Linked DNA regions of Stegostoma tigrinum. The protein of the gene in region 2 interacts with the protein of the main gene of each other region in a pairwise test. Links are inferred from orthologs where the notes say so. Each region holds a gene or a part of one and is shown on either strand. Other genes may lie near its edges. The genes, in order: tnksa and SH3 domain-binding protein 5-like.

Region 1 (15,770 bases), on a different chromosome or scaffold from region 2:
TGTTGCAGCAATGATCAAGGAGTTAATTCTGGCAATATGGAGGGACGATATCTTTGAAGAATCCCAAATTGAAGCCACATGATAGAAGTTAAAAACAAAAAGTGGAAGTCCTCCAGTTAGGAGTGTAGTATAGGTTCCCAAATAAACAGTTAGAAAGAGATAAAAAGGCAGATTTGTGGACACATCTCAAGTGAAAATTATTAAGGTAATAATAGTAGGGGATTTCAACTTTTTTACTCTTAACTGGGATAGAAATGTGAAAGGCTTAGAGAGGTGGAACTCTTAGAATGTATCCAGGAGAACATCTTGGGTCAAGATGTGGTAAGTCCCACAGGTGGTGTCGAACCAAATTTTATGGAACAAAGCTGGCAAGAGGTAGAAGTATCAATTGGGATGCATTTTGATGACCTGACCATAACTCAGTAAAACTTACGGTATTTATGGTACATGATAAACGTGGACCAAAAATAAAGGTTCTGAATTGGGAAAGGCCAATTTTAATAAGACAGCAATGGCCAAAACAGAGTGGGAGGAGATGCTTGTAGGAAATGTACATAAGAGCAGTGTGAGTCATTTGAAATGGACATATGAAAATAACCTGCACTTTACTAAGGGTGAAGGGTAGGACCAAGAAGGCTAGAGAACCCTGATGTCGACTAATATATATGGATTAGGAAAATAGGTAAGGTTAGGGCTGATACTGGGGACTCAAAATAGCAGAAGCCCTAAAAGAGTGTAGAAATCGCAGGAAGTTATCTCAAGAATAAGGTACAGAACAAAGAGGAGGCATGCAAGAAAACTGATGGACAAAATAAAGGTTTTGCACTGCAGTGGTACGTAGATGGGGTCTATTTCAATATATTTGTTTATCACACTGGTGGTTGAAAACCAGGCCTCCAGGAATTCGTCTTTGTTTTGCTTGTCCATTGTTACTTTGTCCAGTTAAACTAGAATGTAATAGAATGAAGGAGAGTTGGCCATGCTGTTTTGCTGTGAGTTGGTGTTCGTGTATCCTGGTGGCAAGTTTCCTGCCCATCTGGCCTATGTGGTGCTTCTCGCAGTTGCTGCATGGTATTTTGCATATCACATTTCTCCTGCTCATTGTGGGTATAGGGTCTTTCGTCTTTGAGTGTAACTGGCAAAGTGTGGCTGCTGGTTTGTGTGCTATCATTATTCCAACAGGGCGTAGGAATCTCATAGTCAGTTCTGATATATTTCTAATATAAGGTAGGGTGACCAGTGTGTTGGTGTTGTTTACTTGCTAGGCATCGGTGGATAAAGCTGTTAGGATACTCATTATTTGTAAAGATTTTGTACAGATGTTCCTCTTTGTTTTTGCACAGCTCCAGGGTATTGCAGTGTGTTAATCGCTCGTTTAAACAGAGTCTTGACACAGCTCTGTTTGTGGTCACTGTTACTGTTGTAATTCAGGATTTGTTCTGTGTATGTTGTCTTTTTCTATATACACTGGTGAGGAATTCACCATTGTTTATTCATTCCAACATTATGTCTAGAGTTGATTGTTGTTCTCTATTCCCCTGGTGACTAGTCAAACCAAACCGGACCATATACATTCAGGGTGGGTCAGAGTAACACAGCTTCAACTGAAGCTATACAGTGCTGAAGATGTCACAGGGAAAACCAGATAGCTCAGCGAACAAACCAACAACACCAACCACAACCCAAGCTGAGATCACAAGGTGTAAAGCTGGATGAACACAGCAGGCCAAGCTGCATCAGGGGAGCGGGAAAGCTGATGGTTCAGGCCTAGACCAAGCTGCAGATCTTTGCTAAAACATTATAGCTGTAGATGAGATTTTAAGTTAGTTGTAAAAGAAACAGAACAAGAAGGCAAAGATTTAGAGAGTGTTGTGTAACTGAAGCTTTTGTGATGTGAGAGATAACTTTTCCACACAGTGAGCAGTTAAGAATATGGGATGCACTAGCTGTAAATTCAAGATTAACACTTGAAACACCATAATGTACAAGGCGACAGGCACGATGCTGCAAAATAGATAGTTGCTTGATGGCAGACACAAACACGAAGAGCCAAACAACCTCTGTCAATGCAATAAGGCTCTAGAACTCTCTGAATCACCAAGCTGATTAATCTGTCTGACTTTGATTGATATCTAGGTCAGAAACTCCCACCGGATTTATCAACAAACAAAAGAAAATTAAAAGCCAAATTTATTCCTTAACAGTTAGCAACACACGTTAAAAGCTGCTACTAAGCAATCTTAAGCAATGTCTCCTTTAAACCCAAACCTGCATACAATAATTCACAAATGGGACACATGGCTCTGCAGAAATATGATTGGTGGAAAGTATTGACAAAAAAAGTGTTCTGTGGTTCAACAGTCAGTTCCACGGGTGGGAATGAGATGCCTTTATAGTTTGTTTTTTGGCAATTGTATCATGTTACGATCAACTCCAGAATGATAGAAGATCCTCATTTTGGCAGGAGGTCAATGGATGTACGATTTTACTTGAGTTGTAAGTTGCTACCAGGGTCTTGCAGTGTGGACTTTTTATTTTGACTCTCAGATAGAGACCAGTTTACTTCCCTTGCAGACTTTCTGGAGGTCTGAGTTTTACTTTCCCTGATCTCAAGCCTGTGTCAAATTGCAAGTTAAATACTCAGAGGCTGTTAGAACTGACAAAAACTGCAGATGCTGATTTCTCTCCACAGATGCTGCCAGGCCTGCTGAGCTTACATAAGAATTAGGAGCAGGAGTAGGCCACATGGCCCCTTGAGCTTACCCCGCCATTTAATGAGACCATGGCTGATCTTTTTGAGACTCAGCTCCACTTACTCACCCACTCACCATAATAACCCTTAATTCCTTTACTGTTCAAAAATTTATCTAGCCTTACCTTAAAGACATTCAACGAGGTAGCTTCAACCGCTTCACTGGGCAGGGAATTCCACAGATTCACAACTCTTTGGGTGAAGAAGTTCCTCCTGCCCTCAGGCCTATATCTGCTTCCCTTTATTTTGAGGTGATGCCCTCTAGTGCTAGTTTCACCTGCTAGTGGTAACAACCTCCCTGCCTCCACCTTATCTATTCCCTTCAAAATCTTATATGTCTCTATAAGATCTCCCCTCATTCTTCTGAATTCCAATGAATATAATCCCAGTCTACTCAGTCTCTCCTCATAATCCTACCCTCTCAACTCTGGAATCAACTGAGTGAATCTCCTCTGCACCCCCTCCAGTGCTACTATATCTCTTCTTAAGTAAGGAGACCAAAACTGCACACAGTACTCCAGGTGTGGCCTCACCAGGACCCTATACAGCTGCAGCATAGCCTCCCTGTTTTTAAACTCCATCCCTCTAGCAATGGCAGACAAAATTCCATTTGCCTTTTTAATTACCTGCTGCACCTGCAATCCTACTTTTAGCGATTCATGCACAAGGACACCCAAGTCCCTTTGTACAGCAGCGTGCTATAATTTTTTACCATTTAAAACATAATATATTTTGCTGTTATTCCTACCAAAATGGATGACCTCACACTTAACAACATTGTACTCCATCTGCCAGACCTTTGCCCAATCATTTAGACTATCTAAATCCCTCTGCAGACTTTCAGCGTTTTCTGCACACTTTGATCTACCACTCTCCTTAGTGTCATCTGCAAATTTTGACACACCACACCTAGTCTAAACTCCAAATCATCTATGTAAATTGTAAACAATTGCGGTCCCAACACTGATCCCAGAGGCACACAACTAGCCACTGGCCGCCAACCAGAAAAACACCCATTTACCCCTACTCTGTTTTCTACTGGTCAACCAATCCTCTATCCATGCTTTATTATCCATGCTATTACCTGTAATAATGTGCAACTTTATCTTATTTTGCAGCCTTTGGTGTGGCACCTTGTGAAATGCCTTCTGGAAATCCAAATACACCACATCCACAGGTTCCCCATTGCAATTAATGTCCTCAAAGAATTCCACCAAATCAATTAAACATGACCTACCCTTCATGAACTCATGCTGGGTGTTCCCAATGGGACAATTTATATTCAGATGTCTTGCTATTTCTTCCTTAATGATAGATTCAAGCAATTTCCCCACTACTGAAGTTAAGCTAACTGGCCTATAGTTATCTGTTTTTGTCTGCTTTCTTTTTTAAACAGTGGTGTCACATTGGCTATTTTCCAATCTGCGGGAACTACCCCTGAGTCCAGTGAATTTTGTAACTAATTACTAGTGCATTTGCTATTTCCCCCATCATCTCTTTTAGTACCCTGGGATGCATTTCATCAGGGCCAGGAGACTTGTCTACCTTTAGTTCCATTAGCTTGCCCAGCACTGCCTCCTTAGTGATAATGATAATTTCTAGGTCCTCACCTGCTATAACCATCTTGCCATTAGTTTTCGGAATGTTATTTGTATCTTCCACTATGAAGACCGACATGAAATAACTGTTTAATGTCTCAGCTATTTCCTCATACCCCGTTATGAAATTGGCCTTCTCATCCTCCAAAGGACCAATGTTTACCTTCACCAGTCTTTTACAATTTACATATTTAAGAAACTTTTGCAGCCTGGTTTCATATTCTGAGCTATTGTATTCTCGTAATCTATATTACTTTTCTTTATAACTTTTTTTTGTGGCTTTCTGTTGGCCTTTAAAGATTTTCCAGTCTACTAATTTCCCACTACTCTTTGCTTTGTCGTATGTGTTTTTTTTTCAATCTGATGCTTTGTTTCCTTAGACATCCATGGCTGGCTCTCTCTTTTCCTGCAGTTCTTCTTTATCACTAGAATATACTTCTGCTGAACACTGCAAGTCCTCCAATGTTCCTCAATTGATCCACCATAAAGTTTTTGCTCCCATTCTACCTTAGCTAACTCCTCCCTCATTCCTTCATAGTTTCCTTTGTTTAAGCACAGGACATAGGTACTGGATTTAACGTTCTCATGTTCCATCTGTATTTTCAATTCAACCATACTGTGATCGCTCCTTCCGAGGGGGTCCCGAACTGTCAGATCATTAATTATTCCTGTCTCATTACACAGGATTAGATCTAGGATAGCTTCCTCCCTCGTAGGTTCCATTACATATTGTTCAAGGAAATTATCGCGGATGCATTCTACAAACACCTCCTCAAGGGTGCCATGAACGACCTGGTTTGATCAATCGATATGTAGATTAAAATCCCCAATGATAATTGCTGTACCATTTTTACATGCATTAGCTATTTCTATGTTTATGGTCCGCCCCACCACAATGTCATTATTTGGTGACCTATAGACCACACCTATCAATGACTTCTTCTCCCTACTATTCCTACTTTCCACCCAAACGTTTTGTTCAGTAGAACCTATAATCATCTCTAACTACCGCCCTAATATCATCCTTAACAAATCAGAGCAACACCACCTCCCTTACCTTCCTGTCAGTCCTTCTGAACAGTTTGATACCCCTGGATATTTAACTCCCAGTTATGACCATCCTGTATCCATATCTCTATAATGGCCACTAAATCATACCCATTTGCCATGATTTGTGCTGTCAACTCATCCAACTTATTTCGAATGCTCCGAGCATTCAAATAAAATTTCCTTATGTAAGTTTTTGCACCTTCTTTTTGGGTCCTATCACCTTCATTACTAACAGCTCTCGAGTTCTCCTTCCCTTTAATTTTTTTCCTAATTTTCAATGGAGTTGAAGCTTCTTTGTCACCTGCTAACCTGTTGCTTTGCCTTACATTAATTCTTATTCTCCCTCTATGCTCACTTCTCCCGTCCCCACTACTTACTAGTCCAAAGTCCTATTAACCACCCTATTTACTATTTTCGCTGGAACTCTGGACCCGGCCCTGTTCAAGTGGAGTCCATCCCAGTGGTATAGATCCCTCCCGCCCCAGAACTGATGCTAGTGCTCCATGAAAAAGAAACCTTCTTTCTCACACCACTCTTTTAGTCACATGTTTACTTCCCCGATCCTCGCCTCCCTAAGGCAATTTGCACGTGGCTCGGGTAGCAATCCAGAGATTATGACCCTTGAAGACCTGTTTTTTTAAACTTTTGTTCCTAGCTTTTCATAATCCCGAAACAAATCTTTTCCCCATTCCTGCCTATGTCGTTGGTCTCTACATGGACCACAACAACTGGATCCTCCCCCTCCCTCTCTAGTATCCTCTCAAGCCAGTCAGGAATTCTTCGCACCCTGGCACCGGGCAAGCAACACACCATGTGGGATTGTCTATCCTGCTCACAAAGGATACTGTCCATCCCCCTGATGATGGAATCCCCCACAACTACAAACTGTCTTTTTGCTCCTCCCTCTTGAATGGCCTCCTGGGCCATGGTCAGTTCCTGCAGCCCTGTTCCTCATCCACACAGGGGGCAAGTGCCTCACACCTGTGGGACAATGTCAAGGCTCCTGTGTTCCTGTCTGCACAGTCCCTCTACCTGCCTCACTCAGTCACACACTGCTGTCCCTGCCCGCTGATCAAATTAACATTAGTTAATCTACCAGGTGTGACTGCCTCCTGGAACACAGCATGCAGGTATTTCTCCCCCTTCCGGATGTGTCACGGCGTTTGGAATTTGGATTTCAGCTCATCAATTTTGAGCCAGATCTCCTCAAGCAGCCAACACTTACTGCAGATGTGGTCACTGCCGTTCTCAATCAGATCAGCTAGCTCCCACATCATACAGCTACAACACATCACCTGGCCTGCCACCTCTACTTAGTTAATTATTTAAAATTAATTAGATTTTTTGTAATTTTGCAGTGTTCTCTGCACCAGTTTTCTCCGTTATATACTCAAACAGACTCCGGCTTTGCCTTCCAACCTGCTCCCAGAGGATTTGGTGTCTAGGTGACCAACCCAAAAGATAACAAAGAGATGAGGAAAAAAAAATGCAAATAGCTTACCTGCTCACCACACTTAATCATTATTATTAGGTTAGGTTACACGTGTAGTATCTTGGGTATTAGTTAACTCCCAGATTCATTGGGTGGAAGCTTACCTTCCCAGGATGCCCTTGTGCTTTCTCCCAGACTCCTGCCACTGATACAACTGAAATTCAGGTTTATCCACCAATTTCTATTTTCGACTCAGAGGCTGTTTCTAGGCCAGCTTCTCAACCCGACAACTCTTCAGCAACGCGTCACTATGACAGGCTCCAGCTTTTGACCCGCCCACGAGCACAGGTGAGCGCATGCAAGGAGTTCCCAAATCGGCCAATCAGAGTTCGGGCCAATCAAAAGGCCCTGAAGAATGACCAATCAGGTAGCGAAAAGCTGTCCATTGGCGTGAGGAGGTGTCACCCCGCGTCAGCCTCACCACCACCCCCCGATCCCCCCCCCATCCCCGAAACATGCCCGTCCGTAGGGCCGGTGCTGGGTACGTGCACGATGCGCGTGCGCTTCACTCCACTCCACCCCCACCTCCCGACGGGCGCCGCCGCTTGGTGTCGGCGTGCGCGCTCAGTGCCTCAGTGACGTAAGCCGGCGTTGCTGCAGTGACGGTCGAAGATGGCGGCGCGGCGGAGCCAGCTCTCTCCCAGCGCCTCGGACCCCGGCCCGAGCTCCACCCCAACCCCGACACCGGCCTCCGACAGGCCTGATTCGCCAGGATTCACCGGCGGCAACGCCACCTCCCCGCCTTCCGGGGCAGCGGTGCCGCCGCCGCCACCACCACCAACAACTACAACAACAGGAGGTGGAGGGGGGGCGGTGAATGACTCGGGCCGAGAACTGTTCGAGGCCTGCAGGAACGGCGATGTTTTGCGGGTGAAGCGACTGGTGGATTCGGGCAATGTGAACGCCAAGGACATGGCCGGCAGGAAATCCACGCCGCTGCACTTCGCCGCAGGTTTGTACGTCGATCAGGCTTTTAGAGCGGGGCCTATAGGAGGTGGGGCGGTCAATGATCTCCTAGTGTGCGGATGGGAGTCCGGGGCTGAGATCAAGAACCTCAAGAGGCCTGGACTCGTCGCCGTCAAAACAACGCAACAACTTTGGGATCGGGGCGGGGTGAGGGATGAAGATGTTGCCATGGGTTTGAACAAGGGTAGGAACAAGGATGGCTTAAAATCAGAGTCCGAACATGGGCCCTCTTCAAACTGCGGATACTGCATTAAAAGAGTGATAGCCCCATACGATCTTTGTCAATTATCGTGTGGCAGTAATTCATATTATTTAAATGGACTTCACAGAGATCGGGAGCTGGAGAACGTGTTAACGGGAATGGTACGGGGAGGATAAATCTTCATTTCGCGTTGACGATGTAAACATTAGTTTCATTATTGGGTCATTTGTAACAGCAGCGGCGGCTGTGTCGAAATTTTGTTGCACACAAGTCTGTTCTCAAGTAAAAGTACCTTGTCAATTTTGGAGCATTTGAAAATGGTGGTAGTGACAAGGCCAACCAACTCGCCCACTAACCTCCTCCACCGTCGGGATGGCTCGGATCTGAGGAGCTTGGAGAGGATATTCCCAAGAAAGGAAGGTTTAGTCTCGATAAAATAGGTCTTTTCCTGTCTTCTGAACTGCTCCCCATTAGCTTAAAAGTGCATATCTAATTGGTAAAAGGTTTGGAGGCCATAACATTAAGGAGAGGCAGCAGTGTAGTGGTAATGTCACTGGATTAGTGAACCAGAAGAGACTAATAGTGAGGACATAGGATCAAATCCAACCACGGCAGGTGAATTTTAATTCAGTAAAAAATCTGGAATTAATTGAAGCTGGCCTAATGACAACCATATAACCATTGTTGACTTGTAAAAAGCCACCTTGTTTTTTCGTGTCCTTTAGGGAAGGAATCTATCATCCTTACCTGGTCGAGCTGTATGTGATTCCTAATTGATGGCTCTGCAGTGATGAATGCTGGTCCAGCCAGTGATGCCCACGTCCCATGTCCAAATTAATAAAAGGGCTTTGTGATACACAATGAATCATAGCATCTGTACAGTGCAAGTAGAGGCAATTCAGCTGTCAGGTCTGCACTGACCCATTCTATCCTATGTTTACCATGGGTAATCCACATAGCCTGAACACTGCGGGGCAATTTAGTATGGCCAATCCACCTAACCTGTGCATCTTTGGGTTGTGTGGAGGAAACTGAATTCCCCTTTGGAAACATACACAGATACAGGGAGAACGTGCAAACTCCACACAGTCACTCAGTTGTACCTTGGTCCCTGATGCCATGAGGCAGCAGTGCGAACTACAGTGGTACCATGCTGCCCACCTACAATGGACCAAATGGTTGCTAAGAATTTCCTTGGTGTGACTGGCGAATACATAGATCGCGTGTCCTGGTTTAAGAGGATGCATAGACTGGATAAGTATTTTGTGGTTTTGCTTTTTTTTTCCCCCCGGTTTGGGGAGTGAAAGGAATCCAGAAGTATTGTTAGAACTCACTGATTTTTAAAATTTATTTTTGTGTTATTCTTTTATTAATTTTGGTTTATTGCTGAGAACTGTGAACTGAAGCTGTTAGAAACAAAAATAAGCCATTGTTTGTTTGTGACGTCAAGTATGAAAGTTAATTACAGGTTGATTCTTGATCAAAAGGATTCTATAGACTATTTGACACTGGGGAAAGCTGTCTGTCTAACCAGACAGCAGATGTTTGGCCATTGACAATGTCAATACCTGGGAATTCTTACCAGCAAGTCTGCAAGGGAACATGATTGGCAAACAGAGGGAGGGCCAGAGTTTGAACTGGTTTTTGGACTGGTTTATGAGAGGAGGAGTTTGTTGATGTTACAGCATGAAAGTTGGAAAGCTCCTTGCCTAACCTCCTCTTATCAATTCTTGGAAGTTCAGAAAATGTAAATAAGTAATGCCTTCCTTTAGCATGAACTGAAAAGATGACATTGATGTCTTAGGAATGTCAACCGAGAAACCTTTGTTTATGCCTGCAGAACAGACATTGTGAAAACCCCATAAGTAATCTGGCCAGTTTTGTTATTTTTATTCATGCCTTAACTCTGTCTGTGTATCTCTTTGTATGAAAGGAGGCTGCAACAAAGGTTTTTGGGTTTCAATCATCAACATGAATGAGATTACTTGCTGTGTTAATAAATTGTTATCTTTTGTTTAAGTTTGTAAACCCGGTGTCAAGAATTGATTATTCACAGTTTAGGATTGGTTATTCAAAAAGTCTGGCCAGGAATCGTTGGGGTCTACTTTGAGAGTTTTTGAAGGTTTTAATTTCACTATGTTGTGAATACAGATGTGGAAAAGCTGGTTTGATTTAGCTTTCTGTCTCTGTGTCGTAATAGTATTTATTCACAATGTAGAAGACACCATATTGATTGTATGTTCTTGTAATGTAGTACTTTTTGTTCTTGACTAACGTTATAAGTGATAAATGTAAGGTCCCTCTCTGAAAAGCCGATACAGCAGTGTGGGTTATAACTAAAATAGTCAAAGTACTCCTCTGAGCACAAAGTGTGGAGCTGGATGAACACAGCAGGCCAAGCAGCATCTGAGGAGCACAAAAGCTGACGTTTCGGGCCTAGACCCTTTCGAAACGTCAGCTTTTGTGCTCCTCAGATGCTGCTTGGCCTGCTGTGTTCATCCAGCTGCACACTTCGTTATCTAGGACTCTCCAGCATCTGCAGTTCCCATTATCTCTGACTCCTCTGAGTCCCTTTAGTTTTGTTGATTCTGATAGAGTTTTTGAATGCAGTGAATCTTCGCAACTTAAAATATGCCTTGCAAAGGTGACCTTTCTAAAATACCAAATCAGAAATGAATAAAGTTGATACTGTGACTTGATTCTGTGATGTTAATTATTGTAAATAAGTCCAAGCCAATTCCCATTTTTAACTTAAATTTGCCTCATCAGGAATTAACAGTAACTTCAGTTGTTGTACTTTATCTTTCTGTTTATTGCAGATCTTCCTTTTTATCAGTGTTCTGGTGAGATATTGCAACATTTTAACCCAGCAAGCTGTCAGTGAATATTTCTAATAATATGGAGACCAGAGCCATCATTTATATTTAATTGTATTGATACCTTATCATTTTAAATTGAATCAGATTAACATTTGGTTGAATGGGACGTTATTCTCTTGGCATCAGCTAGCTGAAATATTTATGAGAAGTGAATTTAAGTAAACTTTTTTGTTTGGATTTTGTTACTTTGAGGTAAGCTTGAAGATTTCACTTGATTTGGAGTTTTATTTTCCTCCATTTTTGCCACAGAGAAGGAAATTTGGCTTCTTAAGTGTGTTTAGAATTAGTGGATCTTTGACTTGAAATATTCTTGCATTCGGTAGGAAACTTAAGTCCAAGTATGACGACTACTTTACTGATTAAATAGATACTTTTGGCTAAGTGAACTCAATTATACAGCATCATTGCCTCTGGCTGAAGCATTTATGTAGTCTATAAAACAGTTGTACCTTTGAGGTGAGTGTTCATTTTTCAGTGCCTTCAGGTTTTTTAAAACACATTTTTATTCTGCTGTATAAAATATTTATTTAGCAAGGAATACATTAATACTAGGTCAACTGGAGTGAAAATAATTTGGACAGCTTTGGACATGTTTGTAAACAACTGACGATTTCTTAAGACGTAGATCAACCATTATGCTGTAGAATGAAAGGAGAGGTACAAGGTGTTGAAAAGGCTTCTGTCCCCATGCAATTGAAGCAGTTAAGACCTGTGACTGATGTGAATTACATGGTTTGCTACGGGATAGGAAATGAGATTGTGCTGATATCCTGTATATTTCAAAGTCAGCAAGGCCTTCATGTTGCTGGGAGAATTTACGACTCAATTTTCAGCAGTTCCAAAATGGTATTTTAAAGGCTAATGATATTTAAATGAAAAATAGAGGCTGTCATGGGGCTTCAGGGACTTGTATTTACTTTTTTAATGGAAATAGTGAGGCAAGAGGTGATTGGGGACTGAATGTTTCCTCAGCCAGGAGGAGAATATGTTGTTGACAGCTGTTCTCAAACACATCACATATAGACAAATACTCGTGACCTCATTTTACTGTGAAAAGAGCCATTCACACTTTGGAGACATTGTATGGACTTAGTTTCTTTTTTTCCATCAAGAAAAACATGATGCTAGAATGTTCAATGGTTTGCTTTAGACTTTTCAAACTGCCTGTTCATAGAATATAGAAGGATGTAGCACAGAGGGATCCCAGCCCTTTGAAAGAATATCTAATTAGTCCCATTTCTTTGCTCTATCAAAGTTTCTCCTTCAAATTACTTCTTAGCAATTGACTATTTGGTCAAAAGTTTCTGTTTTGAATTCAGCTCATGTATGATTGGCAAATATTGCTGAAAATTTAGTACTAGAATAGATTATTTGGAATGTAATCTGTAAAATTAGGAAATTCCTCTTTCACAATTGTTAATAAGCTGTTTGAGGCACTAAGAGATATTGATTGAATGATGATCATCATGATCCTCCATTTTAAGGATGAAGTTTGTGAATTAGTAAAGCTAGTTTTTAATTTATCCTGAACTGAGTGTTCGGTTCAGATGTTTTTGCATGTTGTTCCATTGGAATGGGGCAGAATTGGCCAATGAAACATTTGATAGAAAGAAAATTTATCTTTTTAGCAGAGATCTAGTTTCAGACTTGTTTTCTTTTGCCATGGGCCCTGTACCTCACTGTATACCCTAGTTTTCAAATGCCAATGCCTGCTGTCCATAGCTGAGACAGAGCAGTGGGGTCAAGATGGTAAACTGTCTAGCATTCACCAGACAAAGCTATTGCCAAAATTCATCCCATTTTTAAGTTATATTGCCAAGTTTAATTTTATCATTTGCATCTATGGTAGTTGCAATTGGGTGTCCCCCTGCCTTCTCCAAAGGATTGTTATTGGGGGTAATCAAAACAGTACCCAGCTGATGGGAAATTTGAAACAAAAACAGAGAATGCTACAGAAACTCAACAGGCCTGACAACATCTGTGGAGAGAAAAGTGAACATTTCAAGTCAGAGTTGAAATGTTAACTTTTTTTTTCCACTCTCTCCACAGATGCTGTTCAACCAGCTGTGTTACTCCGGCATTCCCTGTTTGTTTTAGATTTCCATTTTCCACAGTATTTTACCTTTATTTGATGGGAAACTTGATGGATCAAATGACATTAGGTTTTACACTACATGAGATTTAAATCACAAAAGTTGATGTCACGATGCATTAGATTTGCAGTATTCTGTTGTCAACTGCTTGAATGGTGATACTTCCACATTACTGTCTGATTGTAGCAAAAATAGGTAACGTTAATTTTATGTTTGAATAGATAAATAGATTGAAGTAGAATTAGAGTTTTGAAGAGGTTCTGCATTAATGATAGTTCAGTAACATAACTGGGAGTCTAGCGGTCAGGATTAATGATCTGGAGACAGATCAAATTTCGCTAGCTACAAACCTCAAATTTATCAAGTGAATCTGGAGTGAATAGCCGTCAGTAATTGTGTCCATGAAATTACCAGATTGTGTTGTAGAAACCCATCTGCTTCATCAATATTTTTCAGAGAAGAATTCCTGTTGTCCTTTCTCAGTCTGGCCTAAACTTGACTCCAGACCCACAGCAGCATGTTGACATTTCATTATCTTCTTAAATAATCTAGTAAGCTGCTGAGGTGGGTCACCATCTCCTTTCCAGGCAGTTAGTGCCAGGCAATAAGTGCTGGTGTTGCAACAACACCTATGCCCAAGAATAATTTTTTTAAAAAAGATTTTAAAGTATTTGGAAATTTGGGTCAGGGTAACTAATTGTAACATGCTATAAACTTAACAGTACAAATTTTGGATCAGTATTTGAAATTGGCATATGGTTTTCTCTGTATGTGGAGCCCATATAAAATGTTTGAGTAGTATTCTCAATTATGTTGTTCCTATTGCTAAAAGGCATAAAGGACAAAAGATTTCCAAAAATGCTACTAAAACTCCAGAGATTGGAACTGTCGGGGAAAACTGAATGGTTGAGCTCCTTTTTTAATATCCCTAGATAAGAGAAGTTTGGGAGGAGACCAGAGAGACATCTTAAAATAATGAAGTAATAGGGGGAAGAAGAGAAGGCGTTTTGACTGTTGGGTTGCCCGCAACTAAAGGTGATTTAATGTGAGTTGGTCATCAACAGATCCAAAACAGATGCAGGAGAACTTTTTGTAGGGGAATACTTCGAATGCAGAACTTGATACTGAGTGTGGTTGAGATGATTAGTATAAATATTTTAAGGGGAATTTTAATACGTATATGGGGGGAGAATTGTACGGAAGGATATGCTGACAGGATGAGATGAAGTAGAGTATGAGGAAGTTTTTATTGCTCCTGAACACTGGTATTGAGCTGTTGGGTTGATTAGTCTGCTTTGGTTTGTAAATGCTTTGAGAGCAGTAGTATTTTACCTAGCCCCTGCAGCTATCAAAAAAAAATTCCATTTGTTTTGCAGCTGCTTCAAGTTTGTTTTCATCCTGTGATACAAAGTGCAGTATTGTGTTCATTTTCTATTTGTCAGCCAGTTAGCTTTTAAGACATGCAGCTTTGGCACTTTAATTTTCACTTGATGCTTATTGAATCATATCTAGCACTGTTTGACAGCTTCGAAGTTCTACAACTAAGAGTTGATGTCTTCAGACATTGCAGTTTAGCTCTGTCCTTCACTGGTGTTTGGTTATGAATGTTAAGATCTTTCAGTCATTTCATATAAAGACATTGTACGCATTCATGTGGTTGAATTTTGAGTGATTGTTTTAAACTAAATTGATAGCACCCTTATCAGAGAGTGTCATCAGACATTCCCTGATGTGCTTGATATCCGGATGCTGGCTAGTACTGTAATCTGGTTACAATTCAGGGAATTGAACTAGCGTAATGAGCCAACTAAAGTCTTTGTGTATAAAATATAAGGTGAGGTATGTTTTGTGTTGCTAGCAGCTGTAAGCAACCTCTTTAGTTCATCGCAAATACATGTTGAGGTTCAGCAGCTGCTGGGGTGAAGTTGGCTGCTTATAAGCGTAGCAAGAACTGTGTGTTCTTTGGCCATTCACCATTGAACCAAATTGTTCATGATTTAAATCTGTTATTTTCTCAGTGTGTCCCGTACCCCCTCATTGTCCGTAGATTACACTGAATGCCTTTTTGGATCAATGTATTATCTACTCGAATTATTCTATTATTCATCACATTTCAAAATATAGTGAGATGTTGTTACTAACTTAGCAGTTTGAAATGTCTGGCATGCTGAGAAACTGTAATTCAGCAACAATTTGGATTGCCTTTATAGATATTTCTAATTAACCAATTTAAAATTTGCAAACTTGTGGAGCAGATGGGACGTAAACCCGAGTCTCTGGTGTAGAGTGTGTCTCTTTGCCACAAGAGCCTTTTACCTCTGGTGACTCCTCAGCAAGGTTCCATAGGTATTTACAGTCACCTTTTGAGACATGTAACAACTTGTGCCTAAAGCAGATGGGGCTTGAACCTGGGCCTCCTGGCTTTATATACTGAATTTTATGACTATACCCACAGTTTATTTTGTCCATAATGTGCCGTTATTTATATTTAGCTTATGTCCCATGATTAAGTTTTAAAATGTTTTTAGTACTGAGGAGATACATTTACAGCAGCTGTTTGCCCTAGGTCTCATAGTTTCCTTTCCCTTCCCTTAGCCCATGGATACAAAATGTTTTAAAGCTGCTGTTGAGATTGTTTGTTTATTTAAATATGAGTACAGGTAGGAACTCTAGGGTCTGCCTGGTATAAACAGTACCATACTCTGCAGCACACTAACTCGTTGAGCTTTCAGGGCCTT
Region 2 (15,090 bases):
AGAGCTAACTTTTTCAGGTAGCGACCTGTCAGCAAATGTTAACACTGCTTCTTGGCATAGCTGTAGTGTGATGTCCAAATCTGGTGCCAATTTTATGATGATTGCAGGATTATAGAGACAAAGTTTTGATTCAGCAGAATGATCCCAGGACTGAAAGGGTTAAATTATGAGGCCATATTGCATAGGGCAGTGTGGTATTCTCTTCCCTACTGAAAATTATGGGATGGTCTAACTGAGGTCTGAAGATGGTGAAAGAGTGTCATAGGATACTATTGTATTCCACATGAGCTCTGCCCAAAGGCAAGATTTTCTAGGCAGTTTGGTCAGTGGTGGTTTGCCATTGTTTAGCATGTTCAGGAGTAGGGTGAGAGGCACAGACATCAGCCAGTTGGGAAATAATAAATAAAAAACAGGTTGTTGCCTGAACGATACACTGGCCATCTAACAACCAACTTAACTGGCCCCTTCACTGCTAAAGAGAAACTACTTCCTCTGGTGGGGAGTCCAAACCAGGCAAGGGACTGTTGAAGCTGGAGTTTCAGGGACAATGTCAGAATGCATTCCTTCACTCAAAAATGGCTGAAATTTGGAACACTCTTGCCAAAAAAGCTGTTATGGCTCAGTCAATTGAGAATTTCAAAATGGAGATTCATCACTTTTTGCTCAGCAAACATTTTAAAGATGTTACAGAAAGCTGGTGGCATTATTTTCCAGATGGGTCTGGCTACATGACCAACTGTCTGATGATCTACTACACTATCCAGTTTTAGCAGAAAGCAGTTAGCCTTTTAAAAATCAACCCTGTCTGTTCCATTTTGCTGATTTTAAATATCAAAAGGTAAAGAACCTTACTGCTCAATTCCATTTAGTCCAGTTTCTCACTGAACAATTCTAGCAATTCAGAAAATTCTCTCCCATTCCAAACAGCTGTGGATGCAGGGGGTCAACCGAAGATTACACAAACAAGATACATAGATTTTTCTTAGGATGTGTTAAGGATTGCAGAACTAAGGCGGACTTAGACAGTCAGGATGCAGGTCACACATGATCTAAACGAATGGCAAAACAGAAGGGAGCTGATTAATTTACTCCTGTTCATACATGTACATGAGAAAAAGGTGGGGCTGGAATTGTTAGTGTATAGCTCAAAAGAGCTGTAAGTAAAAGAACAATAAAACAAATAGCTTCCGTGCTGTATGGTTCTCGAAATTCCCCATTTATTGCAAATGTTAACTTAACTCTAATCAAAAACAAAAATCCCCAACCTGGTTCCTCATATAGGTGCACCTTACAGAAATTCAGACATATAAAAAAAAAATCAGTATTAACTCCATAATGCTGAGGAAGAAATCAATATTTTAAAACTACTACAATGATACTGAGAAAGTGTTTATCAAAATTTGATACAAGGATTTTAAATATGAAAATGAAAAAACTGTAGACAGGGTTTAAAGTATTTACAGCATAGGAAGATAACAGGACGTTGGATGTCCCAAAGAAACTAATTGCAAATCTGCTAATTTTTTTTTTAGAAAATCAAATTAGTGCAAATGAAACAAAAGTAGTGACAAAAGAGAAATAAATCTCCAGGACTGCACAGTTCTTATCCTAGGCATTTAAAAGAAGGAGGTGGAAACATTGCAGATGCCCTAATTATGATGTTGTTTCAAAGTTAGAGTAAATCAGGAACTATTCCTAAATTGGAAAATTGTGCTTGTTATTCTACTCCACGAGAAACATAGAATTATAGATGAGCTAGCCTAAAATTTGTTGCCATAAAATTACTACAGACTATAATTAGCACCATGACAATATTCAGATTTTAAAAATGAGCACCAATAACATCATGGACAGATACAAACAAACAAAAAATCACAAAGCACAGTGAAATACTGGACTTGATATCTAGAGAATTATATTTAAAAAAATGAGAATCATGCTACCACATATGTAAAACCCTGATTAGACCACAGTTGGACTATACCACACCTAAGATAGCATATTCTGGATGTGGGGATTTATTAGAACGTCATTGGGATTTCAGAAATTGAATAAGGAAAAAGATTACACAAATCCTGGTTACATTTCTTGCAATTTAGAAAGTTATAAGAGAGTCATTTGAGCAAAAGTTTTCAAATTATTAAAATTGGAACAAATAAAGGTGGGCAGGGAGAAACAACTATCACTGGTTGAGGAAATCCAGAAGTAGGTGATGTAGCCTATGATTTTGAGCCAGGTCTTTCAGGAGTGAAGTTAGAAAAGCAAAGCTGACACAGGCTGAAAACTCTTCCGCAAATAGTGACTAATACCAAATCAATTGTTAATTTTAAATCTCAGGTTAATAGATTTCTGTTAACTAAACACATTAAGGGATATGGAGAAATTGCAGGTCTATGGAAGTAGGTCATAAAACAGTCATGATTTAACTGAATGGTGGATCCAGATCAAAGGCCCTTCTGGCCTATTCCTTATGTTCCTAACCAGAATTTTAAAAAAGTTGTAGCTTACAGTAATTCCAGCTCAAAAAAAAATTCCAAAACATCTGTACAAGAAGGTAACATATTCCATAATTGAAAAGCACTTAATGGGGTCAAGAAACTGTCAAAGCTCCATTTACGATTTTTGAAACTGTGCCATCATACTCTGAAAAGAAAATATTCACTAATTGTAGGCATTTGAAGGGCTCAATTTTTTTTTAGAAAGGCACAAACTTTCATTTTCACTTTTCATAAAACAAACGTTGTAAACTTATTTTAATTAACACTTTAAGTACAAGCGAGTTTTGAGAAGATTTGTAGCTCAGGTTGAGGTTCTGGATGTGAGTTTGCTCGCTGAGATGGAAGGTTCGTTTTCACTAACCTGAAAACTAACCTTCCAGCTCAGCAAGCAAACTCACATCCAGAACTTTAAGTACAATGGAGAATATTTTCTAACAGCTGTAATGACATAGCTGTCTACCTGAGTATTAGCAGGCTCATACAGCAAACAGTCTCAATGCTTATGCAGCTGTGGATGTCAGGGTTTTTTTAAATTTATGCATTTATTTATTTTAAAATCCACATTATTTAATTTAGGCATCAACCCTGGCTGACTTGTATGTTGTAGAGCTGGATGAACACAGCAGCCAAGCAGCAGAGGAGCAGGAAGGCTGAAGAAGGGTCTCGGCCAGAAACGTCAGCCTTCCTGATCCTCTGATGCTGCTTGGCCTGCTGTGTTCATCCAACTCTACACCTTGTTATCTCAGATTCTCCAGCATTTTCAGTGCCTCCAATCTCTGACCTAATAGTATCATTGCTTTGAGATAGAAGGTTGAATGCAAATCCTATTCTTGAATAAAATCTAAGCTGTCAATCCAATGAAAGTGATTGCACAATGTTCAACACCATTCACAACTACTCAGATATTGAAGCATCCATATCCATCTGCAACAAAATCTGGACAATATCCAGGCTTGGATTAACAAGTCGCAAGTAACAGTGATGCCACACAAATTTCAAGCAAGACAACCTAACCATCATCCCTTGAAATTCAATGGTGTTACCATCATGAATTCTCCACTATCAACATCCTTGGGGTTACTACTGACCAGAAACTCAACTGGACTCACTACATAAACAAAGTGGTTACAAGAGCAGGTCAGAGGCTAGGAATATTATGGCAATTAACTCAACACCTGACTCCCCAGAGCCTATTCACCATCTGTAAAAGGCATAAAAGAGGAATGTGATGGAATACACTACACGTGCCTGGGTGAGTGCAGCTCCAACAACACAAGAAGCTTGACACCATGCAGGACAAAGCAGCCCACTTGAGTGGCACCGCATCCTCAAGCATCCATTCCCTCTACCACTGATGTATATTAGCAGTAGTGTGTACTATCCACGAGATGCAATACAGAAATTCACCATAGGTCCTCAGACAGCACATTCCAAACCCATGACTACTTCCATGGAAGGACAAGGGGAGGAGATACATGGGAATACCACCGCCTTCAAGTTCCCTCTAAGTCATTCACCTTCCCTACTTGGAAATATATCACCATTTCTTCATTGCCACTGGGTCAAAGTCTTGGAATTCCCTCCTAAGGGCATTATGGGTCAACCTACAGCATGTGGATTGCAGTTGTTCAATAAGGCAGCTCAGCACCACCTTCTCATGGGAAATAAGGAATGGGCAATATATGCTGTCCAAATCAATGGCACCACATTCCATGAGTGAATAATAAATTCTAATAAAGTGCCCTACAGTCAGAGGTGCCGTCATTCGGATGACAAGTTAAACTGAATGTGCGTCCTTTCAGATAGATGTGCAACAGATCCTAGGTCACAATTTTGAAGAGTTTGCACTGGCTGGCACCCTGACCAATATTCATCTCTCAACTCATCACTATAACTGATGCTTTGGCAACCTACCGGTTTACAAGATGGTGGATCATGTTCAACTATCACCTCATGGATCAGGATCCCCACTTTGGCAAGGCATTTCCACCTGTATTTGCTGTGGATGAAGACAGGGGACCGAGAAGATGCAAGATTTGTCAGCATCTATTTTCCTTGGGCCCATATCTTGGCCAGCTGAGTTTCTGCTTCATAGCACTTCTTCTAAAGTCTCTCCAGTCAGCCACCAGAGGCCTCAGCCATCAGGACCTTCTCCTAGTTGTCAGTGTAAATGTTTGCCATTATTACATTTTGCCTGAGGTATCCTGAGTTGTAGATATCCAGCAAGGTGTAACCCAATGGCTAGTTAATCAAACAGGAAATCTTCAGATAAGCAGCCATCATCCACCCAATGGATGTGGCCAAGCCAGTACAGACATCAGTATTAATAATGAGCAAGTAATGATGGAATTAGTACACTCCAACACCTAAAATTTGATAAGATCATCCTGCCAAGAGATATGCAGGACACACGAGTGCATTGAGAATGCAGACTTGGGTAGACTTGCAGTTTTGTTTTCTCAGTCAGCTTGTTATTTTTGTTTCACACTCTCTCTGGCATCCTGGCCGATAAATATTCCTCAAGTAACATCACAAACTGATTAACTAATGGTTATGTAATTGACATCTGCACCTCGTTATAAGCAAATTTCCTACAAATAAAACAATTAATATACCTCAAAACCTTTGTCCTAAGGTTCCCATTGGACCTGCATTTACACAGAACCCGTCTTTCATCGAATATGAAGATGTCAACAGGAATTCCTGGTGATAATGTCATTGATTAATGTGCTCCTATAGTAACTGGTAATTTAAACTGAAGCAAGAAGGTCCAACAATTTATGGTTACAGACTACAAAACATGACGGACAGTGAGGGCGGAGAGGAGAGAGGCAAATTAATTATGCTGAAAACATAAAGCACTGTACTTTTGAAGGAACAGCAATGGGGAAAACTGGTTTAAATACGAAGTGATTTTCATGGTGTGCAGCTGCAGAAAACATTACTCAAGACAGTATAGAATAATGCCATAAGACAAAGCAAATCCTCAGAGACAAATGATGAATTAGTGCTTGGTCTAGGCCCGAAACGTCAGCTTTTGTGCTCCTGAGATGCTGCTGGGCCTGCTGTGTTCATCCAGCCTCACATTTTAATTATCTTAATTAGTGCTTGAGTTCAGTTTGGCTTAGGTTGGAATGCGTTGGGTGGCTCACAATAGTTTGGGTTGTTAATAGATGGGGGAAAAATTCACCGTATATTACAGAGTCTGAGAAGTTAGACCATTTTCAATTCATTTGCAGGACATGGACAAGCAAAGCTGGCATTTAAGGTGATGTAATTGAGCTTGTTAGGCTACCTTAGTAAAAACACTAAAAGGAATGCATGCTGGTGTGGCATTGGATCATAGGGAAAACAAGGTAAAGAACAGTGAGTCTCCTTCACTAAAGGAAACAGACGAATTACATGGGGTTTTTAAGGCAATCCGATAGCTTGACAGTTGCACTCACTAATATCAACTTCTCAATTTCAGATTTATGAAATTAGGACAATATCAAGCTCCAAGTGGAGAACACTGAGTAAAGGCACCAGGAAAACTTCAAAACACCAAAATCAGACTACAGTCAATAAAAGACAGTAGGCCTCTCTTAAAAGTAAAAAAGCATGTCGTTTACAAAGAAAAAAGATTTTTGAACAATACAATTGGGCAATTTGAGTTCAGGAAGCAATTAGCGACAGCCTTGCCCATGCAATTAGTGGGAAGCTTAACCAGAGAGTTACTGTCCTCCACAAACAGCCCAGCACATAAAATTTTATATCATGGCGTTGCAACACCCAATTTCTTTGCTGCAGCATGGTTTGGTAGAACAATCAAGTCAAATTTGATAAGGGAAGAGCTAATGGAAAATGTCCATTTAAAAAGAAATTCAAATATAAATGGCTGATGAGGAAAACAGGCTATTCTCACACACCTCAAACAATTTAGACAGACAGATACACAAAGAGGGAGAAGACCTACAGAATGCAACAAAGAGGACCAGGCTGTTTTAAAACTGCAGTTAGCAATGTCACAGCCAAGTACAAGCATTAGATTTTTTAAAAATCAGATTACGTGAATAAGATAGAAGTGAAATATTATTTTAACCAATAACATATCCAAAATTAAAGCTTATCTCCCTGAGAACACAAAAAAAGCTCAACTCCATGAAAATGGTTAAAGTTTTACTTCTGATCCCAGATCATTATAAAAGGAGTTATCAGTACAGTATACATTATAGAGGGCACTGAAACAGCATACATTTTACCAAGGTATTAGTACAATATACATATACCATGCTGTTAGTACTGCATATACAATAATGGGGTTTTAGTATTGTACGCATTATACTGGAGACTGCAAACGGATTCCTGACTGTAGACTATAAACTCAGAAGGTCTCCTACAATTCACACATAATCATGAAGCTTTACTGCATAACTGCAAAAAAATGCGAACTGTAACTTGTTGTGGGAACCATATTCTCTGGTTCCCATCTCTCAGCAAGTTGCCATTTACATATTTTTTGCAGTTATGCGGTGAAGCTTCACAAAATAACCCATCCACCGGACTGCAACGTTAGTACAAGCCACAAAACCGACCAATTCCAAAGGAACGTTTTGGCAAAAATGTTTACCTGAATCCTTGGGTCGACTTCTTCCTCCTCTGGCACTTCTAACTTCTCATTCTTCTTCGACAACCCGTCCATTTTGCGACTAAATTATTTATATCTTACAGCATTCAGTCTCTTTTATTTTGGGAGAATGTAAAAAAATGCAAGCTAGGACCGAAATTCGAAAAGGAGAGAGAGAAACACTCAGGGAAGTGAAACAGAATTGGCTTCACTATCGATTAAGACGTTGTCGGAGTCAACACTGCTGTATCCTGCAGAAACATCTGGAATTCATTCTTCCACTAAAACAGGCTCCAACGAACGAGGCAGCAAAACTTGGACGCGTAAAAAGCTGCAATAATTCAACATTTTTGAAGTGTCCGGAGGAAATATACGCCGCCCTCTCGGATGCAGACTCTTGTCGTTCAGAGCCCTGGTAGGAGGAAAATCATTCTAAATATATCCACAGACAGGATGAAAGGAGGTTGGCGTTGTCATACAATAGCGACGTTAGCACAGCTCGTTCAAACGGAGTCAGAGAGGCTACATTCTCCAGGATTCCTCAGTGCGCTGCTACTCCGCCCCTTCCTCTTACTCTGGGCTTGTTGGCGATTGCTTTGTTCTAATGAGATACAGGCGTAATAAAGGCTGAAAATTTACCTCCGCACCCCCCCAACCTTCACTTACCCGCAGGGGAGGATGCAGTTACCAATCTAAGACCAGCGGTTATTTCCAGCAATTTCTCTTTCTCCCTCTAAAGAATTAATTTCTTTCAATTATTGCTTTTATTTTCATGTCCTTTATTGGCTCTGGAAATAACGGGCTGGGATTGCATCACGGATGATGGCTACCCCTGTGCTGATTCGGAGATAATTTACAGAATATCTCACTGACACACAGCATCTTGCAGAGCTCACTCACTGCCCAGTCTGGGTAATACTGGGTCACTAAGTTGTAGCGCCCAGTTCAGGCTGGAGGACACAACCCGCGCTGGCACTATTGATGGAGTGTGGCATATTTTGCACGACGCGTTAAAAGGCCCTGTTCTGCCCTCTCGTGTGAAGATTGTGTGGCATGAGTTTAGAGAGATAAGGCGTGTTCTCCCTTTTGTCCTGGCTAACGTTTGTTCCTCTCACACATTACAAAAACATGCAACCTGCTTATTATCTCATCCCATATCAAAAATATTTCATTAGGTGTAAACTATTTGAGATCATGAAAGTTGCCGTATGAATGCAAACCTGTCTTTTGGATCCGCACCCTCTCGGATCCGCTACAAACCAAGCATTTTGATGTTACATTGAGTTCCATATTGAAGGCAACAATTCGTATAATTCTAGTTTGGAATGAAACACCGTGTTGATGTGGAAAGGTATGATTAGCATTCATAGTATCAGTTCCTCCCTCAAATTAACTTCACTAATGAAAATAGAGGATTATTTTGAAATTGTTACAATGACAGACAAAAATGCAGTGCGAATGCACACAACAGAATATCCAAGAAAGGGAGCTCAGACAGCAAAACCCGCTCAAAGTCTGCTGCTGTGGTAATAACGTTCAATTCATTTTCTGTTCTTCCATAGTAATATGGTTTGTACTGAAATAAGATTATTGTATGCTGGGAGCTAAATTCCTAGAGGAAACGTCTGTTTTTTTTTGTTCGTTTGTTTTAAACCTTTGTAAAAATCATCTGTTATGCTTATCAGTATTCAAAAAATGAAGGAAGCTGAGATATTATTTGTTTGGGAAATATTACTATTAATCAATACAAGATAGTGAAAGTCTGAAAATGAGCAATTAAAAAGCAATGTAAAACCTTGGTTAAATCTTTTTCTCACTTAATTCAACAACCCACAAACATTTTTATAGTCCATTTAACAACCAGAATACCTTAAAGCTTCAAAGTAGTGTTATAGGACAACATGTTACACTGTGTCACATAAGGAAGTATGTTTCCACACTGTAGGGATTCTATGAAATCTGGTGATGAACGGTTTGCTCAAAGAACTCAAGAGTCGTAGAGTCCAGCAGCATGGAAATAGACCCTTCAGTCCAACCAATCCATGCCTAACATAATCCAAGTCTAAATGTGTCCCACCTACATGATCCTGGCAAATATCTCTCCAAATCTTCCCTATACATGTACTTATCCAAATGTCTTTTAAACATTGTAATTGTACCCACATTCACCACTTCCTCAGGAAGTTTATTCCACATGCAAACCACCCTGTGTAAAAAAATTTCCTCGTCTTTTTTTAAATCTCTCTCTTCTCACCTTAAAATAACATACTCTAGTCTTGAAATCCCCATCTGAGGTAAAAGACAGCTACCATTAATTCTATCTATTCCTCTCATTATTTTATAAACTTTTACCAAGTTGCCACTTAACCTCCTACACTCCAGAGAAGAAGGTCCTAGCCTATCTAGCCTTTCTTTATAACTCAAACCTTCCATACCCAGCAATGTCCTGGTAAATCTCAGAGGAAGGGTCACTGAACCCACAATGTTCACTCAACCCACAACGTTCACTCTGATTTCTCCCCACAAGTGCTGCCAGACCTAATGAGCTTACAACAATTTCTGTCTTTGTTTCTGACTTACAGCATCCGCAGTTCTTTTCATTTATAACTAGGTTCTATGGATTGTTTTAAAGACGGAGAGGGAAAGAATAAAGAGTCTGAGAAATGAACTGACTCATCTTAGTTCTTCAGTTAATTTGTATTAGTCTGTCATCCTCTTGGAAAATTGCCTAAGTGAGAGAAATAGGTGGATTTTATTAATAATTTAATTCAAGGAACAATATAGCTTTCTGAATTTCAAACAAAAACAGAGATTCAGTAACAGAAAGTTACCAGGTCAATTTAGCTATGCAACCTGACTTCAACAGGAGTCTAGATTGGGGAGTCAATCATTTATTTAATCCATGGGAAGTGTTGAGGCAACTCGCTAGTCCACAATAAAGAGAAGTCCTCGAATCTTAGTGCTGTGAGTTGTTCAGAAACCAAAATGAATGAATCTAGTGGCGAATGATGGGGTGATGATGAAGTCAGGGCAGTCATGTGATTGAGCATTATAGAGGTAGAACAGCAGCAGATGAAACAATTCAACATAAGGTTTACAATGGGTAAGAATATCAGTAACTTTGAAGAGAGAGGAACACTCTCCGATTAAAGCAAAACAATAGCACCCATTTATCAATAAAATCCTGGCTGTTGTTCATGTGTTGCTGGGTGTTGAGATGGACTGCTTTACTGTCCATGGAATTGCAAATCAAAGCAAACATTCCAAAAGTATCAAAAAACAGCTCTACTTTTATAACCATCTTGTGGTCCCTATTGAGCAGAAATTGACTTAAACCCACCATATAATGCCATTATATGACAGGGCTTTTGTGGCACAGTTGTTGTGTCACTATTTCTGAGTTAGGAGGCCAAGTTTCAAGTTCCACTTGTTCAGGAGGTGTCTAATAATATTTCTGAACAGGTTGAATAGAAAATACCTGTAAATGCCATGGCAAAAACGCTAGTGGTGCAACAGTAGTGTCCCTGTCTCTAGACCAGAAGGCCTGCATTCAGGTTCCACCTGCTCCAGGATGTGTCACAAGATACCCAAACAGGTTGAATAGAAGTAACTATAAATACAATGGCAACTTAAACAGAAATTCTGTGATGAGTAGTTCATCTCCTGACTGCCAAAAACCTCACCTCAAGGCACACCAAAGAAACATGAAGCAAAGTTTTCCAGTTGCCCAGAGAGATGCAACTCCAACATCTATGTACTCATCGAACTGTCATATTCCACATAGATTCTGAGAATACGCAACAATTTGTTTATTCATATAAACATAAATATGTGATGCCATTTTGCCCTTTGTGCAAAAAAATTCTATCCTCTCTGAATGGAAAATTAACTAGTCTGTGAACAGAAAAGAAAATAATACAAGTTCAGCAGATGAAGCAGAATTTCCAAGTTGCATTTAATAAAAATTCCAAAAATGGAGGCCTGTCTTGCAAGGCCAGAGTTTATTAGTTATTGCTAATCGCACATGAAAACGTTACCCATGAGTATTCCTGAAGTGTGGTGACAGTACTTCCATATGTATTGTTAAGTAGTACAATCAAAGCATCATAAAATGGTTACAGTACAGATTGAGGACATTCAGCCTCTCAGGCCAGATGCCAGCTTTCTGCAAGAACAATTTAGCCCTATTTCCACACTCTTTCCCGATAAATCCTGTAAATCTTTCCCTTCAGATGCTTATCTGACCACCTTTTGAAATCAGAATTGAATTGGCTTCTGCCATCCTGTCAGTCAGTAAATTCCAGACTGTTGGCACTCACTGTGTTAAGAAACATACTCCTCATGTTGGCCTTTCAATCTATATTCTTAAATCTATATTCTGTAATTCTTCAACCTTCCACTAATGGAAATATTTTCTTTGTCTGTATTGATCTACTCCATCTGGATCCCCTTTGATTTTGAACTCTATTATTAAATGTCCAACACTTGCTTCCCTAATAGGAAGAGCTGAAGAAGCTCAGTAGGTCTGGCTGCATTTGTGGAGAGAGATCTGCTGAATTTTGCTTTTATCCCAACTCCTCAAATTACACAAAAGTCTCTTGTCCTGGAACCCCATGATTCTCCCTACATTCTTCACATCCTCCTAATGTTTGTTGTCAGAATTAACATCACATCTCAGTTCAGGCTGAACAAACGTTAAAGGTTCAACATAGCACCCAGAACTGTGACAATAAAGGAGCAGTGATATATATCCGAGTTTGGTTATGTGATTAAGAAGGGAACCTTGAAGTGACGGTGAGGCGATGTCATTCTCCTAGGTGGTTGAAATTGTAGATTTTAGAAGAGCTGTTGAAAATACTTTGGCAAGTTGCTGCAGTGCAGCTTGTACAGTCACTGAAGTTAGATTTGATCTCTACTGGATACTGCATACTGTGTTCAGCAGCAGCAAAGAGGACAAGTTTTTTTCAGACTTCGAGTATTTGTATGAGTGAATCAGAGGTGAAACTGAACTTGTGTTGGATATAGCTGGTTTTAGGGTGCTTCGGTCAGCTGTATATAGTAATTAATACGACTCTTTAAGTGTCAGTCAGTGGCTCAATGGAAGCACGCTCAGATCATGGCGGGGGGTGAGGGCATGATGATGTAGTATTGATGTCACTGGACTAAAATTCCCAAGGTCCAGGTCAGTGGTCTGGCTGCATGAGCTCAAATCATACCGTTGCAGTCATAAAGTCACACAGCATGGAAACAGACTCTTTAGTCCAGCTCACCCATCCGACTGGACATCCCAATCTGACCTAGTCCAATTTGCCATCATTTGGCTCATATCTCTCTAAACCCAGTTGTGACATATAAATTCAATTAATAAACCTGGAACATAAAGGTAGTCTCACTAGTCTCACCATGAAGCATTCAACAATTACCATAAAAGCTATCTGATTTACTAACATTCTTTAGAGAAGGAAATCTGTCATCCTTACCTGGTCTGGCTTAGGTGTGACTCTAGATGCACAGCAATGTGGTGAACTCCGAAGCAAATCGCTCAATTCAAGGCCAGTGAGGGATTGGCAACAAATGTAGAAGGGTCCCAACCTGAAACGTCACCATTCCAGCTCCTCTGATGCTGCCTGGCCCACTGTGTCCCTTCAGCTCCACACTGTGTTATTCCTGACTCCAGCGTCGGCAGTTCTTACTATCTCCGGGCAACAGATGCTTGTCTTGTGAGCAATGCTTACGTATTATGAAAGAAGGGGAAAGCATTTACATGTGAAATACTTTCGATTGCTGAACATACTGAAACAGAAGAACAATTAGAATGTTTTGAGTTATGCAAAATTCATGTTTGTAACACTTTTTTTAGGTAACGACTTGTATTGATGGGCTGATTCCACACTTCTACATCACAAACTGAGTCTCAATGTTCTCTTTCATAACTGGGTCAAACAGACGCTAAGTAAGTCTCCAGTGGGAGGGAGAGAAAGAAATGTAATCAGCAGATCGATCAGTTTGTTATGTACTTACAAACCTCCAGAGCAGCATTGGCAACTGATTGGGACAGAATGTCTGCCTGCCTCAGGGATTTCTAAATCAGGAGAGTGAACCTTTCTACTTAGACAGTCATGTGGAAATATGCACAAACAGGTGTCAGCAAAGCAGCACCTAGAATTCCCACAACACTCTCATGATTGAATCCACCTTTCAGGGATTTCATTCCTTCCATTATACAGTACATTGTAGCATGTTGCACTTATTTTAAAAAGCGAAGAATTAAGATGAGAGGGGAAAGATTTGAAAGGGACCTAAGAGGCAACTTTGTCTCACGGAGGGTGGTGAATGTTTGGAATGAACTGCCAGAAGAAGTGGTGGAATCTGGTACATTTACACAATTTAAAAAGCATGTGGATGGGTATATTGGAGGGATGTGAGCCAAATGCTGGCAAAAGGGATTAGCTCAATTTAGGATATCTGATCAGCATGGATGAGGTGGATTGAAGGGTCTGCTTCTATGCTGTACATTTCTATGTCTCTATGACTTTAACCAGCTTAATTTTTGTAATGCCTTACAGTGTTTGAAGTACATTTTAAACTGTAATCATTGCTGTAGTGTGGCAGCTAACATAGCAAGATTTCACAAAAATTAGTGCAGTGGATCATTTATTTCCAGTTGAGGGATAAATATTAGCCAGAACACTTGGGAGAACTTATTCTTTTTCCCTTGAACAGTGCCCTTTGATTTTTTAAGTCCAAGGGTAGATTGAGCCCCAGTCTAACACTTAAATCAGTTAGAAACTGGGTACATCCGAGCACTCCCAATTCAGTCTTGTGACATACTTAAATCTCAGGAGTGGGATTTGAACCCACAAACATCTGACACAGAAATAGGAATGCTACCACTGAGCTATGACTGACACTTAAAGATAGAATTGAAAAATGCATAGATTAATGTTAACCACTGCAAACAGAGCAGGACTATGAAAAAGTCTCATGCAGCATTTTGTTACTTTTCATTGTGCCTATGTGAAACACCTTAGGACTTTTTATTAAGTTATTATGCTGTAAAGACAAATTGGTGCGCCTGGATTCCTAAAGACATTTGACAAAGTTCCACATAAAACAACATTCATTAAACTTGTAGTTGTGAGAACTTAGGTTGCATCTTGAGAATTAATAAGAGACTGAAAGTAAGGTACAAAACAAGCAGTATGTATTTGAGGTTTTTAATGAGTGAAGGGTAGATCACAGGTGGTGGGAGGTAAGTGTAAAAGTTTTGGGTTTGGTACCCTGTCTCTATATTCATTAAAGGCAAAAAATGATTCATTAACCGTTCACAGTTAGTATTTTACCACCTAACTGACCTCAAGGTGTAGGCAATTTTTAGGTTTGGCTTAGCATGCTGTCTGTGAGAGGCTCTTGTAATACAGTGGTAGTGACCCCATCTCAAATTTAGATGGCCTATGTTGTCTGAACAGTTAATGTTTAAAAAAAAAATCGATGGAACTGTCTTTATAATGTGTTTGTGGTCAAGTGATAGTTCCGCACCTCTGGACCTGGAGGCCTGGAATCATCCCACCTGCTCCAGAGGTGTGTAATGATATCTTTGAACAGGCTGATTAGAAAATATCTGAAAAATTTCTTTATATCAATCAGTGCAGATCATGGCATATCAAAGGAAGTGGACATCAAAGCCATAAACTAATGTCTGTTTATTTACTTAAGGATCCAAATATGTAACTTGTTTAATAAAGAATGTTAAAATGAAGGTTTTAATGGCACCTACAGTAACTCAGTCTAACTATTTTACAGTTAAAACTGGCAGGACTAGGATCTGAGATTAATGAAAACTCATGAAATTAATTTAGGATTAGACTCCACAATATCAATCAAATTAACAATCTTGGAATTTGAATAGATTATGTTATATGTTCTCACAGATCTCAATGTAGAACTTTATTCTTATGGATTAACACAGCTACACTGAATATCTTG

The links.
Region 1: the proteins of SH3 domain-binding protein 5-like (region 2) and tnksa interact in a two-hybrid assay, tested with the Homo sapiens proteins (2 studies listed by BioGRID and IntAct). The link is inferred for Stegostoma tigrinum from reciprocal best matches to the Homo sapiens genes SH3BP5 and TNKS.

The regions. Positions count from the first base shown.
Region 1 is NC_081356.1:13,989,727-14,005,496, forward strand, and holds the start of tnksa (poly [ADP-ribose] polymerase tankyrase-1), read left to right. Parts: upstream 1-7,451; 5' UTR 7,452-7,504; coding exon 7,505-7,844; intron 7,845-15,770.
Region 2 is NC_081355.1:21,865,089-21,880,178, reverse strand, and holds the start of SH3 domain-binding protein 5-like, read right to left. Parts: upstream 8,008-15,090; 5' UTR 7,180-8,007; coding exon 7,108-7,179; intron 1-7,107. UniProt on the Homo sapiens protein: Functions as a guanine nucleotide exchange factor (GEF) with specificity for RAB11A and RAB25. Inhibits the auto- and transphosphorylation activity of BTK. Plays a negative regulatory role in BTK-related cytoplasmic signaling in B-cells.